Linked DNA regions of Drosophila melanogaster. The protein of the gene in region 1 interacts with the protein of each later gene in a pairwise test. Each region holds a gene or a part of one and is shown on either strand. Other genes may lie near its edges.

Region 1 (7,860 bases):
ATATTCTTGATTAGCATAGTTTACACTGTTAGTATAGTCATGTATCCCAGTAAAGTAAGAAAATTATAACACGCTTTCAACTCAAGTTGAATATGAGCTTTAGGAAAAGAAATTGAATAGTCAAATTTAATCGTAATATTGCACAGTCATAAAGAAGGTACTCGAGTCTTAGTTACTGACATTTAAGGTCTAGGAATTTTGTATCGCTAAAAATGGTAATATTCAACTCAAGTCGAAAATCATACATATTAAAAATCTTTTAAGAGTAAATCATTAAGGTTTCAAGTGTTGGATGCGCACCGACAATGATGTTTTCTTCGTCCAAGCCAGAACTCAGTTTGACAACTAGAGCAACGCGAAACTGCATGGTCTGGCACCCAGAGGACACTGGAGGCTTTTTTCTCTTGAATCGAGGAAGGGGCATACGAGGCGGGACCACTACGTTCTTCGACGGCCTCCCAGGAACATGTTGAAGCATTTTCAACGATATCCGATCCATTTTCCTAGAGAAGAGTTAAATAATTAGACGACTGACAGTTAATGCACATTGTAACTTATGATTAGATGGCAGAGTATTGCCCCTGATTGAAACACCACCACCACTTCGCGCTCTGGTGATTTAAGGATGAAACAAATTCATATTTTACAGAATATGCACTGTGAGAATCCAAAGACCAAGGCCCATGTTTTAAACAAATTGGGCAGTCACTTTGCACCGAGGGTCTATAACTAACATTAACCACGCTTTTCAAGAATATATGCACGCATTTTGTATCTTAAACGATCATTATTTACATGTTCCATATTTGTCGAAACGATGCTGTTGCAGCTGGGGCAACCTTTTTCCAACAGAGCCAGTCGCATACCGTGTATTTCTCGCAGTAGCATTTCCTCACGTAGCTGAAATAGTGTATGTGATTAAAATGACTATAATGAAAACTGCTTTTGCACCGGAGCTCACCTTGTGTTCTTGTACGATTTGGTGGAGTCTTATGTTTTGTTCGCTGAGTCCGTGAGCCAGGCCATCTGGACAGGATATAGTGAACTGAGCCCTCTCCTGAAATGGTGTTGGGGGCAACGAAATGATCCCCGACGACGGAAATTGGTGTGCGCTGAAAGTAGAGTTTTTTTTTTTTTTGATTCAGTCCAATGGGAGATGCCACCAGTGAGAAAGTACACACAACTCACCTGCCATTTTCAGCCGTGAACTTCATATCGCGACTGTAGCTCGAGCCGAAGGTATTTCGCCGTATTCGTCCGCCCGTCGAGGGAGCATCGAATGGCGACTGGCCCACGAACCGCTGAAGGTCGGGTGATATAAAGAGACTTTCCTCGCCGTTGTAGCCATCGGATGCCAGCAGGGATCCGTTGGCATTGGCATTCGCATTTGCATCTTTGGCTAACTTTTCCGGCTTGCAACGGTCCGGATTTCCCGTCGTCTCCCTTGGCACTTGTAGGTCCAGGTGATGGGGAAAAGCGTCTACCCGCTGCGGGCATATAACGGCATTCGGTCTTATGTGTACCTTGGGCAAATTATTGTAGCTCTGACTGATTTTACTGGCTTGGACAGTGCTAGTCGACTCCAGCTTTCTATCACCACTGACCAGTTCCATTGTGGGGGATGTTATGTGATCTCTACTGCTATTGTCGCTGTTTGGTTTTTGTACGGGCTCCGCAGGAATAAGGGTATCAGTGCTGGTTTCAATTGCGCCATGCCACAGGGCGCGAGAAATATCACTTGTGTCTTCAGATTTTAAAGGAACTGGACTTTGATCTGAAATCATTAAGATAGTTAATGTAACGTATTCATTCTATTCTTCATTCTAACATCTCTTACCGTTTTCGGATGAACCAAATATGAAAAAAGGTCGCCCAGATTCAGAGTTCAGTTTCTGTGAGGTCGCCAAGGATTCTTCAGATTCCGAAGGAACTGCATTTTTATCTAAAACCATTAAGGTAGTTAAGTTTAGTTAAGTTCTTTTGCTTTATCCTAACATCTTTTACCGTTTTCGGATGAGCCAAAAATGAAGACAGACCCAGGGATCAGCTGTGAGGACTCCAAGGAACTTCGCCTTTGCGTTTGTGATTCCACTTCCAATATATCACGTTTAGAAGCTGTACTTTGGTCGTTATGGAAATCTGGAATGGGATTATTTGAACGGCCACATGGACCTACTTCAGTTGCATCCGTCACGTCCAGCTCTACTTCTTTGGAGTCTTTAACACTTTCTTGGACATTTTCGCTAACACTGTTGTTGGCCTCGGATCGTATGTCAAACATCGAGTTGCTATTGGCATTGAAACAATCTGTAACACTGAATCGTAGGGAAAAGAACGAAATTCATTTTGCTGCCGGATCAAATAATCTTCAGTTGACCTACATGGATTCAACGGTCAGGTTGGGATCACTGGACCTCCTGGAAATGGTGCTCTGTCCCAACTCATTCGTTGTTAAGTCTTCAGAAGATCGTGTCTTCGCCATGAGGCCTATTGGTTGTGGCAGTAAGGAGTAAAAAGTGAGTCAATTTCAATTAGGAGTACTCTACTCAACTCACCATTGTGTCCGCTCTGTCTTTCATTACTTAGTAATGGTAGATCAGTTCCATTTTTGTTGCCTAAACTACCAAGGTATACATCAGACCAAAAATATAAAAACCGCACACTGTGCGCTGGCCAAAGAACCTAAAAAAAAAAACACAAAAATCATTAGCATTCTCCTTTAGGCTGACAGCATATATCAAGTTATTAACCACCTTTTCAGTCTCATGCTTATAGAGAGGATTTCTATACATAGTTTCCGCTAAAAATGGCCACACGGAAAACGTTCGGTCGAAAACTGAATTCTCGATGCGTTCTCTGAGCGAATTACATAGGAACGTGCCGAAGAGACAGGACAACGAATGTTGCGCCAGTTTGATCTAAAAAGAATGCATATAACAAGGAGTTAATGTGCACAACTCCGTGCGAAATTCCATGCCACCACTTACCAAATAGCTTATACTAAACTCAAAACTGCATGGATACTGCCTGTGTATTTGATGCACAAGATCAAGCCACTGCAGAAAAACTGGACATCGCTCGTTAACTTCATCGGAATTGGGACCATTTCCAGAGCGATCGGCGAATTTGTGTCCAAAGTTCAGCCATTCACGCTCGACAAGAACGCGGAACCCCTGCAAATACAAGCAAGTAGGTAGAGTATTAGTCCATAGAACACAAATGTTGATGTATATCAACGTACCTCAACCGTTCTGTAGTAGGGATCCAAACATAATTGCGCCGTGGCCACGATCTGTGGAGTGCGATCCCAACCGTCTGAGCAATGTACAAGGACGGGTCGTCCATTCTTCTCGATGGTGTGCACAACGGTCATGGTGGCTCCCAGCAGACCCGACAGGTGCTGCATCCACATGGTCTTTTCCAGTTGTCCGTACCAGCTGCAAGAATATGATTCCATTACATAAATATATATATATCTTTAATAATCAGCTAGTAAACTTACTTTGGATCATCGGGGGATGACGCGCATAGCTGTCGGACAGCGTGGAAACTCTTTCGAATGGCGTGGATGTTGCCCAAGTTCATAAACTCAATCTCTGCACAGGGATAGTACTCGATGCACTCACAGCCGCCACCTCTGGCACGATTTGTAACTGCGGAGGTGTAGCTGCGAGCATCCACAATGAGGATTTTCTGAAAGCAAATACAATTTAAGAGCAATGATCAAATTATTTCATTAGCACTTGGCGGTTTTGACATCATTTTACTGCTCCGTGTTAAGTAATTTATGATAATTATTCATGAATGTTTTCTTATATGGTAACTGAAACCTTCATTTCAAGAATACCCGGCTATTTTGGTAATAAACTTACCTTGATTTCATCCAGCGTGAGTTCCTCATGCGAGGAATCGTCCAGAGATGGTGAACTCTTGCCGGATAAGCCCGACTGGCCGTTGGTCTCCTTGGAGCCCTTTGTTGGTTGCGCCTTTGCATTGGCGCAGGTGGAATGCCTGGCGTGCTCGCCCCTGTCAAAGGCACAGGCATCGGCGAGTGCCTTGAGTAGCTGCTCGTCCCTTGTGTTGCGCCAGCCGAGCCAACCGACCTCCGGCTGGCTGCATCGGGCCAAGATGGCACCCGACTTTTGGTGCCGCCAGACGACAGCCGGCAGCCTTCGTGATCCCCGGAAGTTGGCCACGTTGTGGAGCATCTCATCGGTGATACAGCAGGGCACAAGCAATTTGGGTGGATACGAGGGACAGAGCTTAAAATCGGCATTGGCCGTGGAGATGCGCCACGAGCCCTTCAGATCGAATCCCAAGCGGGCAACCTCGTTCTTAAAGTCGCTTTCATAGCGCACTGATCGTTGCAGGCGATTGCTCATGGCGGCTGAGATGGTCTCGCTGGCAGGATCGGGCAGAGGATTCGACGCTGTGACGTTGGCTGTTGGCTTTGCCAAGCCATTGTGTAGCGTTAGGCAACGATCCTTGGCAATCAGGCCGTTTCCGTTGGCCTGGGCGCTAACGATACCGCTTCCATTGCCACTTCCGAGCACATCGCAGGTCCAGGAGTAGAAGGGAAAGGCGAAGAGTGTCTCCAGTGACTCGGGAACCCCGATCATCAGATGGATCCGGCGCTGCCAGTCGGAGCACTGTTCCGCCGACGGAAAGGAGCAGCGCACAGTGCTGGCATCCTTACAATTGACAATCAGCTGGAACAGATCTCGCACCTGTACGGATTCGATTAATCCCAATGGAACGTAGGTCTCGTAGCCGGTTGACTGCTTGGAAAGGAATATCCGATAATTGGACAGGGCGAGGATACCATCATCCGTGCGCCCCAGGTACTTAATCGATTCGCCGGCCACTAGTGGTATATATACTATAGATTAGCATGTGTTATCGGTTACAGCATATGGGGGAACACCTACACTCTTGAAACGGGACGAACAGCTGGGAGTCTTCCTTCTCCATTTGTGACTTTGGATACGATTCGGCGGCACGGATAAAGCAAATCGATGGAGGCGGTGATCCATCGGACATTGTGTGAATCGGCTAAAAGAATACTTAACATGTAACGTATTCGAAATTACTTATTTGCTTATATTTAGGCAAGGCGATTTGGGTGTCATTGGAAATCCGGTTATCGCTTATAAGTGCATATATCTCTTATATCCACCATCCGAATACATAATTACGCACAACAGTGTGTGTGCGATGTTATTGGGACGATTCGATACGTATAGTATAGTGGCTCCCATAAATAAATAAATAATACTATGCACATATGTGCATGTGCATTAAGCAGTGCACAAACAAAGCCAAATAAATGTCACTGGGATGATAAATTGGGCACAATCAACACTTTTAGAACAAATCGAAGTTAATATTTGAGTTTTTGAGTGTCGTGGTGGCAATATAGATAATGCACTGCATATATATGCACGTATGGATGTACAATGTACAATGAACATACATTTATGTGAGCACACACAGTTGCAGTTCCACAAGGTGCGCAATATATAGTATGCACATATTTGTGTGTCGCTGCATTACATACGCACGCACATATATACCAATAGACTAGATTATCACGATTTCATAGCCAATAGGCGAAAAATGGCCGATTATCGTACTCAACGTATTCTAATGGCCGTGTATGTTGTCATAAACAAAGTAATTAAACATTTACGCATGTGTATGTTTGCATAAACTCATATGTATATTTGTCTATGTAGGTATGTTTGTGTTTCGATATTTCGGGGAGCAACAATAACACATTACAATCGTACATATGTATGCACACACATTTGGTTTTTGGATTCCACAAACCGTTCGCTCAGCAGACTTTTCGGGGTATTTAGCTCAAAACGTATTGCCGAATTGAAAACGCGCTTGGCTTCTAGATTTTCTCGCTCTATTTACCACCATAAAATCCATAAGCGTCAGCTATTATAAACAAAGATTTGCAAATGTTGTTGCACATACATATGTATGCATATGTATTCATTTAGACACTTTTTGTTTCATTTCCATTGAAATTGCTATCGTTGTTTGCTGCTATCGCTGTTATCGCTGCTGTTAGCGATGGCCAAGTCATGTGACTAAGCTATCGTTACTCGATTGCCGATGAGATGTGCATTCGAGACTAACCAACACTGGCCAGCCGATAAAATCAACCAAAAATTTGTAAAACTTAATAATTGTGCGTACGTTTGCATTCCATTCCAGCTGATGTGTAACTGAAATCAGAAAAAAAGAGAACCGATCGCTTGGACTCTCCGCCGGTGCACGCAATTCTACGCCCACTCCTCGCCAGCCGCATTCGCCATTCGGAAGCCGAACAAGAATGTTTGGAGCCAGAATCGGAATCGGAAAGCTTGGGCCGTGTGTGGCCCTAGTTGCGGTGAGTCGACGTGTTCCGTTCTGTCTGGTCATGTTGCTGGTCACTGGAGTGGCTCACCCGCTCGATCAGCGGGCGGGGAAACAGTGGGGAGGGGCCGGCCAGACAGCCCCGGCTTTTTTTTGGCTCCCCCTAACCAAATAACTAACTAACCAGAACTGACATCCTATGGAATTTACAGATTCTACAGCTACTCCAGTACACACAGCCGGCCGATGCCGCCGGAGCCGTGCCCATGACCAGTGATAATATCGATATGACCCTAGGTGAGATATGCCCATACCATAACCATCACAGTCATCCCCATGCCATTCCCGCTGCCAGCGTGAGCGGGAATCAATTAGCCGACTTGTCCCATTGACGTGTCACTAAACAAAATCACTGGCTCGCTCAATTCGGCACTGCCAACGTGGTAAAATAAGTTTTATGCGCTTTCGTAAAGGACAAGGTGTGGAATTTGGATAAAACTTAATTAGGGCGGTTTATATTTCATGCTGCATCGGTCCGATAGTCCGCCAAAATGGGCACTAGCCATTGGTCGGCAGTTCTTTGCTCAGAATGTCCGAAGTTTGGTCTTTGCATGAATAGGTCCTTTTTATACGGTGTGTCCTGTACACAATCCTGCGGTAATACTATATTGTTTTTTTAAAGTTATTTTTTTTTATTATCCAAACGTTAACTTTTACAGTAAAGCCTGGCCTTAGGCTTGCACCCCTTAAATTTTAACTTTCGGAAGTTATGGAATAGTAGGATGCTAGAAATTTCTTGACTTTAATATGTATATTCAGCGACAAATTTAAATATATTCCATAAAAATACATATGCATTTAAATTATTAATACATAAACCCGTAATTCAATATTGATATAAATATATTACCAAATATATGTTTTTAAAAGTTATTATATTTAGTATCTGAACGGAGTTGTATTCTACGCATCAACAATTTTACACACAATTTGGTGCCTACATTAAAAACACGTTTTGTTTTCTTGCAGCGTCTAATGAATTGGTTTTCCTTAATTTTTATGCGGAGTGGTGTCGGTTTAGTAATATTTTAGCACCTATATTCGCGGAAGCTGCAGATAAGGTGAGTCAAATGGATCGCCAGTAAAAGCTTACAAACAATGCGATACATTCATATACATTTTATATCGAATAAATACGTGGCATTCAATCGAATTTCTCTTACAGATTAAAGAGGAGTTTCCAGAGGCTGGAAAAGTGGTGCTAGGCAAGGTCGATTGCGACAAGGAAACGGCCATCGCGTCCCGTTTCCACATAAACAAGTATCCAACATTGAAAATTGTACGCAATGGGCAGCTCAGCAAGCGCGAATACCGAGGACAGCGTTCAGCCGAAGCGTTCCTCGAGTTCGTCAAGAAGCAGCTGGAGGATCCCATTCAGGAGTTCAAATCCCTGAAGGATCTGGAGAACCTGGACTCGAAGAAGCGCCTCAT
Region 2 (4,909 bases), on another chromosome or scaffold:
ACGTTGTGGACATCTCAGATCGGGAGCAGATCTACCAGCGTGCCAGCCAGGTGACCGAGGAGGTTGGTCCCGTCGACATATTGATTAACAATGCCGGTATCGTGTGCTGCAAACCCTTCTGGGAGCTGCACGATCGGGTCATCCAGAACACGTACAACATTAACATCATATCGCACTACTGGACCGTGAAAGCGTTTCTGCCTCACATGATGCGCAATAATCGTGGTCATATCGTTACTGTGGGCTCGGTAACTGGAATGCTGGGCACCTACGGATGCAGTGACTACGCGGCCACCAAATACGCCTGCATCGGTTTCCACGAGAGTTTGCTCACCGATCTGAAGGCCCATGGCTATGATCAAATCCAAATGAGTTTGATCTGCCCGTACTACATCAACACGGGCATGTTTTCGGGTGTTCGGCCGCGGATGATGCCCATGCTGGAGCCGCAGTATGTGGCGGATCGCATCGAGAACGCCGTGCGCTGCAACGAGGTGTGGTGCGTGCTGCCCAACTCTATTCGCCTGCTCACTCCTCTCAAATGGTAAGTAGTCTATTTAACATAGTTATATACAATGTAATTAATGCTGGTTTTCTCAGTCTTTTGCCCGCCAAAATGTGCTGGGAGCTGATGTCGCGTGTCATCCGTGGACCCGAGTCTATGATGATGTTTCAGGGACGAGGGCGCGTCGCCGCTGGTTAAACACACAATAGGAATCATCATATGGAATCCATTACCTAAGCTTAAGTTCTTTTTCAAGAGGCGGCATCGTTTCACCTATAATTTTACAATAAACTTAGTTATTTGATTTAATGAACTATTTTAATAGACTTACACCTATCATTAAGGCTTTAGTTCCTGCTAATCCCGCACTGTGGTCTGTTGGTAATAATGCGGCGCCAGCTCCGTCAGCCACTCTCTCTTGATTACGGTCACGTAGTTCATGAACAATTTCGTCGTTTGGAGCAGTTCCCCATAGACCACGTACTGAGCTTGAGGAAGTGTGTAGAGAGTGGAGTTCGGATGAATGGCCAGTTCAGTGCCGCTGCTGATTTGTCTATAAACTCCAGAGTGATGCAGATAGGCCACCTGTGTGAAGAAGCCGGCGGTGATGCACTTGCACAACTTTTCCACATCGCCCTTGCACGAGAAGATTGGAATGCCGTACTTCTTTCTGGCCACTGTGATGAGTTGCTCCCTCAGCGAGTGGGCCCTCTTAAGATTCCTGTAGATGAGGAAGTATTGGCCACAGAACTCCTTGGTCATGCCCTCCTCCACGAAGCCAGTGTAAGCGTTCAACATCGTAATAAAGTCCCCTTCCGCAACTTCGAATTTTCGATGTGCAATGCGTCCACTTTGTTGGGCAACCGCTGAAGCTGGGCGCGAAAATATAGACTGCACCTGCAGCAACGCAATGATGGTTATGATCTCCTCGGAGCAGCCCATCTGACCGGAAACATAGAGCATTTTGGAGAGCATAGCGCTGAAGGGGAGTTCGGCCAACAGGTAACCCACGGGCTTCGTCAGATTGCCCTGCTCATCGATGGCGTCCAAGGCAAATAGACTCTCCAGTGCGGAAAGTAGATTCTGTGCCGGTGGTGGCGATGGGAAATCAAAGCGCAATATGTTCCCGATGCCCAGCGCCTTTAACTGCAAGATAGCGCCGCTCAATTCGCTGCGTCGCATTTCGGGTGGCTGCCGAGGAGCTAGTGCTTCATAGTCTGATTTAGTGTACAAACGATAGACCTTGCCGGGACGCATACGACCCGCTCGTCCTGCTCTCTGGATGGCCGACGCCTTGCTGACGGGCACTATAACCAAACTGTCACTGCAGGTTTTGGGATTGTACCATTTTACCTTGACGTAGCCGCAGTCTATCACATAAACAATGCCCGGAATGGTGATGGAGGTCTCTGCTATATTCGTGGCCAGCACCACTTTGCGGGTTCCTTTGGGCGGGGTAAAGAATACCGACAACTGATCAGTGCTCGACATACTACCATACATGGGCAGCACCTTGAGATTCTCCTGTTCCGAACTGGCGATGTATTCGCGCAGAAGATCCAGCGCCTCCAGGACTTCCTCCTGGCCAGTTAGGAAGGCCAAAATGTCGCCAGGCGGCTCCTTTTGATGCAGTTTCCAGACGGTCTCCACAGTTTCCTTCACATAATCGGCGCAGGGTTCGTTCAGATAGAAATTACTCACAGGATGCATGCGACCTTCAATGCTTAGCTTAACGCTCACTTCGCCCGATCCTGGCCAGCTGAAGAACTCGCTGAAGAAGCTTGCATCTATGGTGGCCGATGAAATGATGAGCTTGAGCGAGCTGCGTTTGCGAAGGATCTTCTTGAGCAGTCCCAAAATCATGTCGGTGAGCATATTCCGCTCGTGCGCCTCGTCCACGATGATAACACCATATTGGGTGAGCAGCGGATCGGCTAGGACTTCCCTCAGCAAGATGCCCTCGGTCATGAACTTGATTTTGGTACAGGAGCTCATGCTTTCCAGGAAGCGAACTACATAGCCCACCGTGTCACCTACCAGTTCGCCGCGTTCCTGTGCCACGCGATTAGCCAGCGTAACCTGGAAATGAAGTCTTTAGTTTTAGATTTTATAGTTGCTTTGCTTTAGGATTACTTACGGTGGAAACGCGTCGTGGTTCGGTGATGCCAATGAGTCCCTTGGTGTGCCAGCCCCATTCATACAAATACTGTGGCACCTGGGTGCTCTTGCCACTGGGAAATATGAAAAACCACAGAGTTAGAAGCATTACTTTGAAGCTCATGGAATTCCATACAAACCTGCCTGTTTCACCCACTAGTATGACCACTTGATGCTTTTCCAAGCAGTAAAGTATTTGATCCCGGTACTGACGAATGGGCAAACGTTCCCTCTGTAATAATTTAAGTTTAATTTGTTATTCTAGCAAATGTTTACGAAATATTTTGTAAGCCCACCTGCTCCATGAGTCCCATATTGTGATTGACATTGAATACAAAGGCGGAGGACTGCTGTTCACCACCGGCACTATCTGTGATTGCATCGTCCGTCTCGGGTTTTAGGAACTTTGGCTTAAAAGTGCTCATTTTCAATTATTTACTTCGTTATAGATTCAGTTTTGAAATTAAATAAACAGCTGATGGACTCAATGCATTGGTGCAAAATACCAAAGCGCGCAAAAGAATGTTAGGAATTTCGTTTAATATAAACTAATGGTCACACTTTTATTTGGCGGGAAATTGCATTGTATTGAAATTTCGATTAACGATAACCATCAACTATATAATAAGTTGAATTGCCCAAAAACCTAAGTATTTACTTAATCACTAAGTATACAGTCGCCTAGTTGAGGTCTATAAGAAAAGAGGATAATCAAATTTCACTATATTTTAGTTAAGATTTAAAAATGCAAAATATTAGTTTTTAGAAATTGTTTGGCTAGTACCTCAAGCTTATACCTTTGGTACCCACAAATTATAATATATTTGATTTAGTCGACCATTTCACGAGCCCCAATGGTGGCAAATGTCCATAACATTCACCTGTATTATTCATGCACATGTTTTTGTCCATTTTGCGGGCACGTTGCAGCACCGACATGTCCCCTATTGCTAGTGAAAATAACTCTAATTGCCAGTGGCAAGGCCACTTTGCTCCTCTGCATACCCAGCAAACTCATTATGTACTATAAGGTCGCCCTGGCCACGTGTGTGTGTCAAAAGTGTCCCCCGAGTTTTGTGCAGCTGTCGGCGACAGAAGCGCCCGGCCAATTGCTTTTGAATAAATATTGTATTGTATCTCTCGAGCAACAAAACACACACATTGTTTTGCCCGCTTGTATTTTTTTTTTTGTATATATTTTGATTTATGCACCGTCAGTGGGTATTATATGCATGCCGCCAATATTGGGACGAGTAAGATGGCCGTCGATTCCACACATGCAGGACCCCCGTATTCTGCATTGACCCTGACATTAAGAACGCTCGCTTTAACTTTAACCCCATCCGATGCGATCCGAACCCAACCACCAATTTCAAGCCAAAGCAAAACACGTGCCCGACATGCACGTTTGACCAACCACATCCGCATGCCAGTGCTGAAACAATGGAGCCCAGCTCCACTCCACTCCACTCGACCCGAGCCCAGCCCCCATGGCGTATGAGTAATCCGAGAAAAGCTAATTAAAGGCCAGCGGCGAACTTCATGCCAAGGACGAGGCGCCAAGTCGCCAAAGCCAAGCGAAAGCCAAAAACTCTGCGAGCAGTTTGTCAACACCGCCGTCCGCGGAAAGTGCTTCAACTAAAAGGCACTGAGAAAAAATGTTTTCACTTTCCACTCAAGCTGATATCAGCATCACAGGTAAAGAGGTATCTTCGCTACATGAGAAAGATTATAGTTTCGAAAAGTGTTAAGAACGATGCTTCAGTATTTAGTACTACATCTTAAATTGCAAATACTAAAATATAATAATTTCCGCTGTGCATATGGATTAGTCATTTCATTTGCCTTCTATCCCACTTAATAGTAGTTAAGTGAATATTTAGTTACATTGCGGGTTATGGGAGGCTGTCACATTTTCGCACAGTGTGTATCTTGTCCGTTTGGCGTCCAGTTCCAGTTTCGGTTGCATATAAATTTTAATAGATGCGCCCAAGGCCAGAGTTTTACTGTCAAACGGCTGTCGGCACTCCACTGCCGGTATCCAAATTCCGATTCCCCCGTCTTTGGGCACCTGACTAAATGCCACAAAACTTAAAGGGCGGCATGAATGCTAACTGTTATTCCGGCTTTTACGAGCAAAGTTTCCTTGGAAATGCCAGTGGAGGGTACGTTCCTTTTGTTCTATCTACGTATTATAACTATAGTTTCGCGTTGACGACCCTGATTACAAACGCCGGAGTTGTGCGT

The links.
Region 2: the proteins of CG3632 (region 1) and CG3225 interact in a two-hybrid assay, tested with the Drosophila melanogaster proteins (one large-scale study listed by BioGRID).

The regions. Positions count from the first base shown.
Region 1 is NC_004354.4:16,294,853-16,302,712, reverse strand, and holds the start of CG3632 (uncharacterized protein), read right to left. Parts: upstream 6,043-7,860; 5' UTR 5,938-6,042; coding exon 5,923-5,937; exon of another isoform or gene 5,806-5,922; intron 5,631-5,805; exon of another isoform or gene 5,474-5,630; intron 5,072-5,473; exon of another isoform or gene 5,053-5,071; coding exon 4,929-5,052; intron 4,865-4,928; coding exon 3,873-4,864; intron 3,694-3,872; coding exon 3,503-3,693; intron 3,438-3,502; coding exon 3,242-3,437; intron 3,174-3,241; coding exon 2,988-3,173; intron 2,919-2,987; coding exon 2,754-2,918; intron 2,683-2,753; coding exon 2,556-2,682; intron 2,488-2,555; coding exon 2,382-2,487; intron 2,316-2,381; coding exon 2,005-2,315; intron 1,943-2,004; coding exon 1,838-1,942; intron 1,775-1,837; coding exon 1,189-1,774; intron 1,113-1,188; coding exon 962-1,112; intron 901-961; coding exon 796-900; intron 504-795; coding exon 301-503; intron 1-300. Other genes in the region: ERp44 (endoplasmic reticulum protein 44), read left to right, coding at 6,347-6,403, 6,582-6,666, 7,399-7,490, 7,595-7,860.
Region 2 is NT_033779.5:4,815,080-4,819,988, forward strand, and holds CG3225 (uncharacterized protein), read right to left. Parts: upstream 3,167-4,909; 5' UTR 3,088-3,166; coding exon 2,959-3,087; intron 2,895-2,958; coding exon 2,803-2,894; exon of another isoform or gene 2,737-2,802; coding exon 2,643-2,736; intron 2,585-2,642; coding exon 863-2,584; 3' UTR 837-862; intron 813-836; exon of another isoform or gene 779-812; 3' UTR 704-778; coding exon of another isoform or gene 601-703; 3' UTR 545-600; downstream 1-544. Other genes in the region: CG15629 (uncharacterized protein), read left to right, coding at 1-544, 601-703.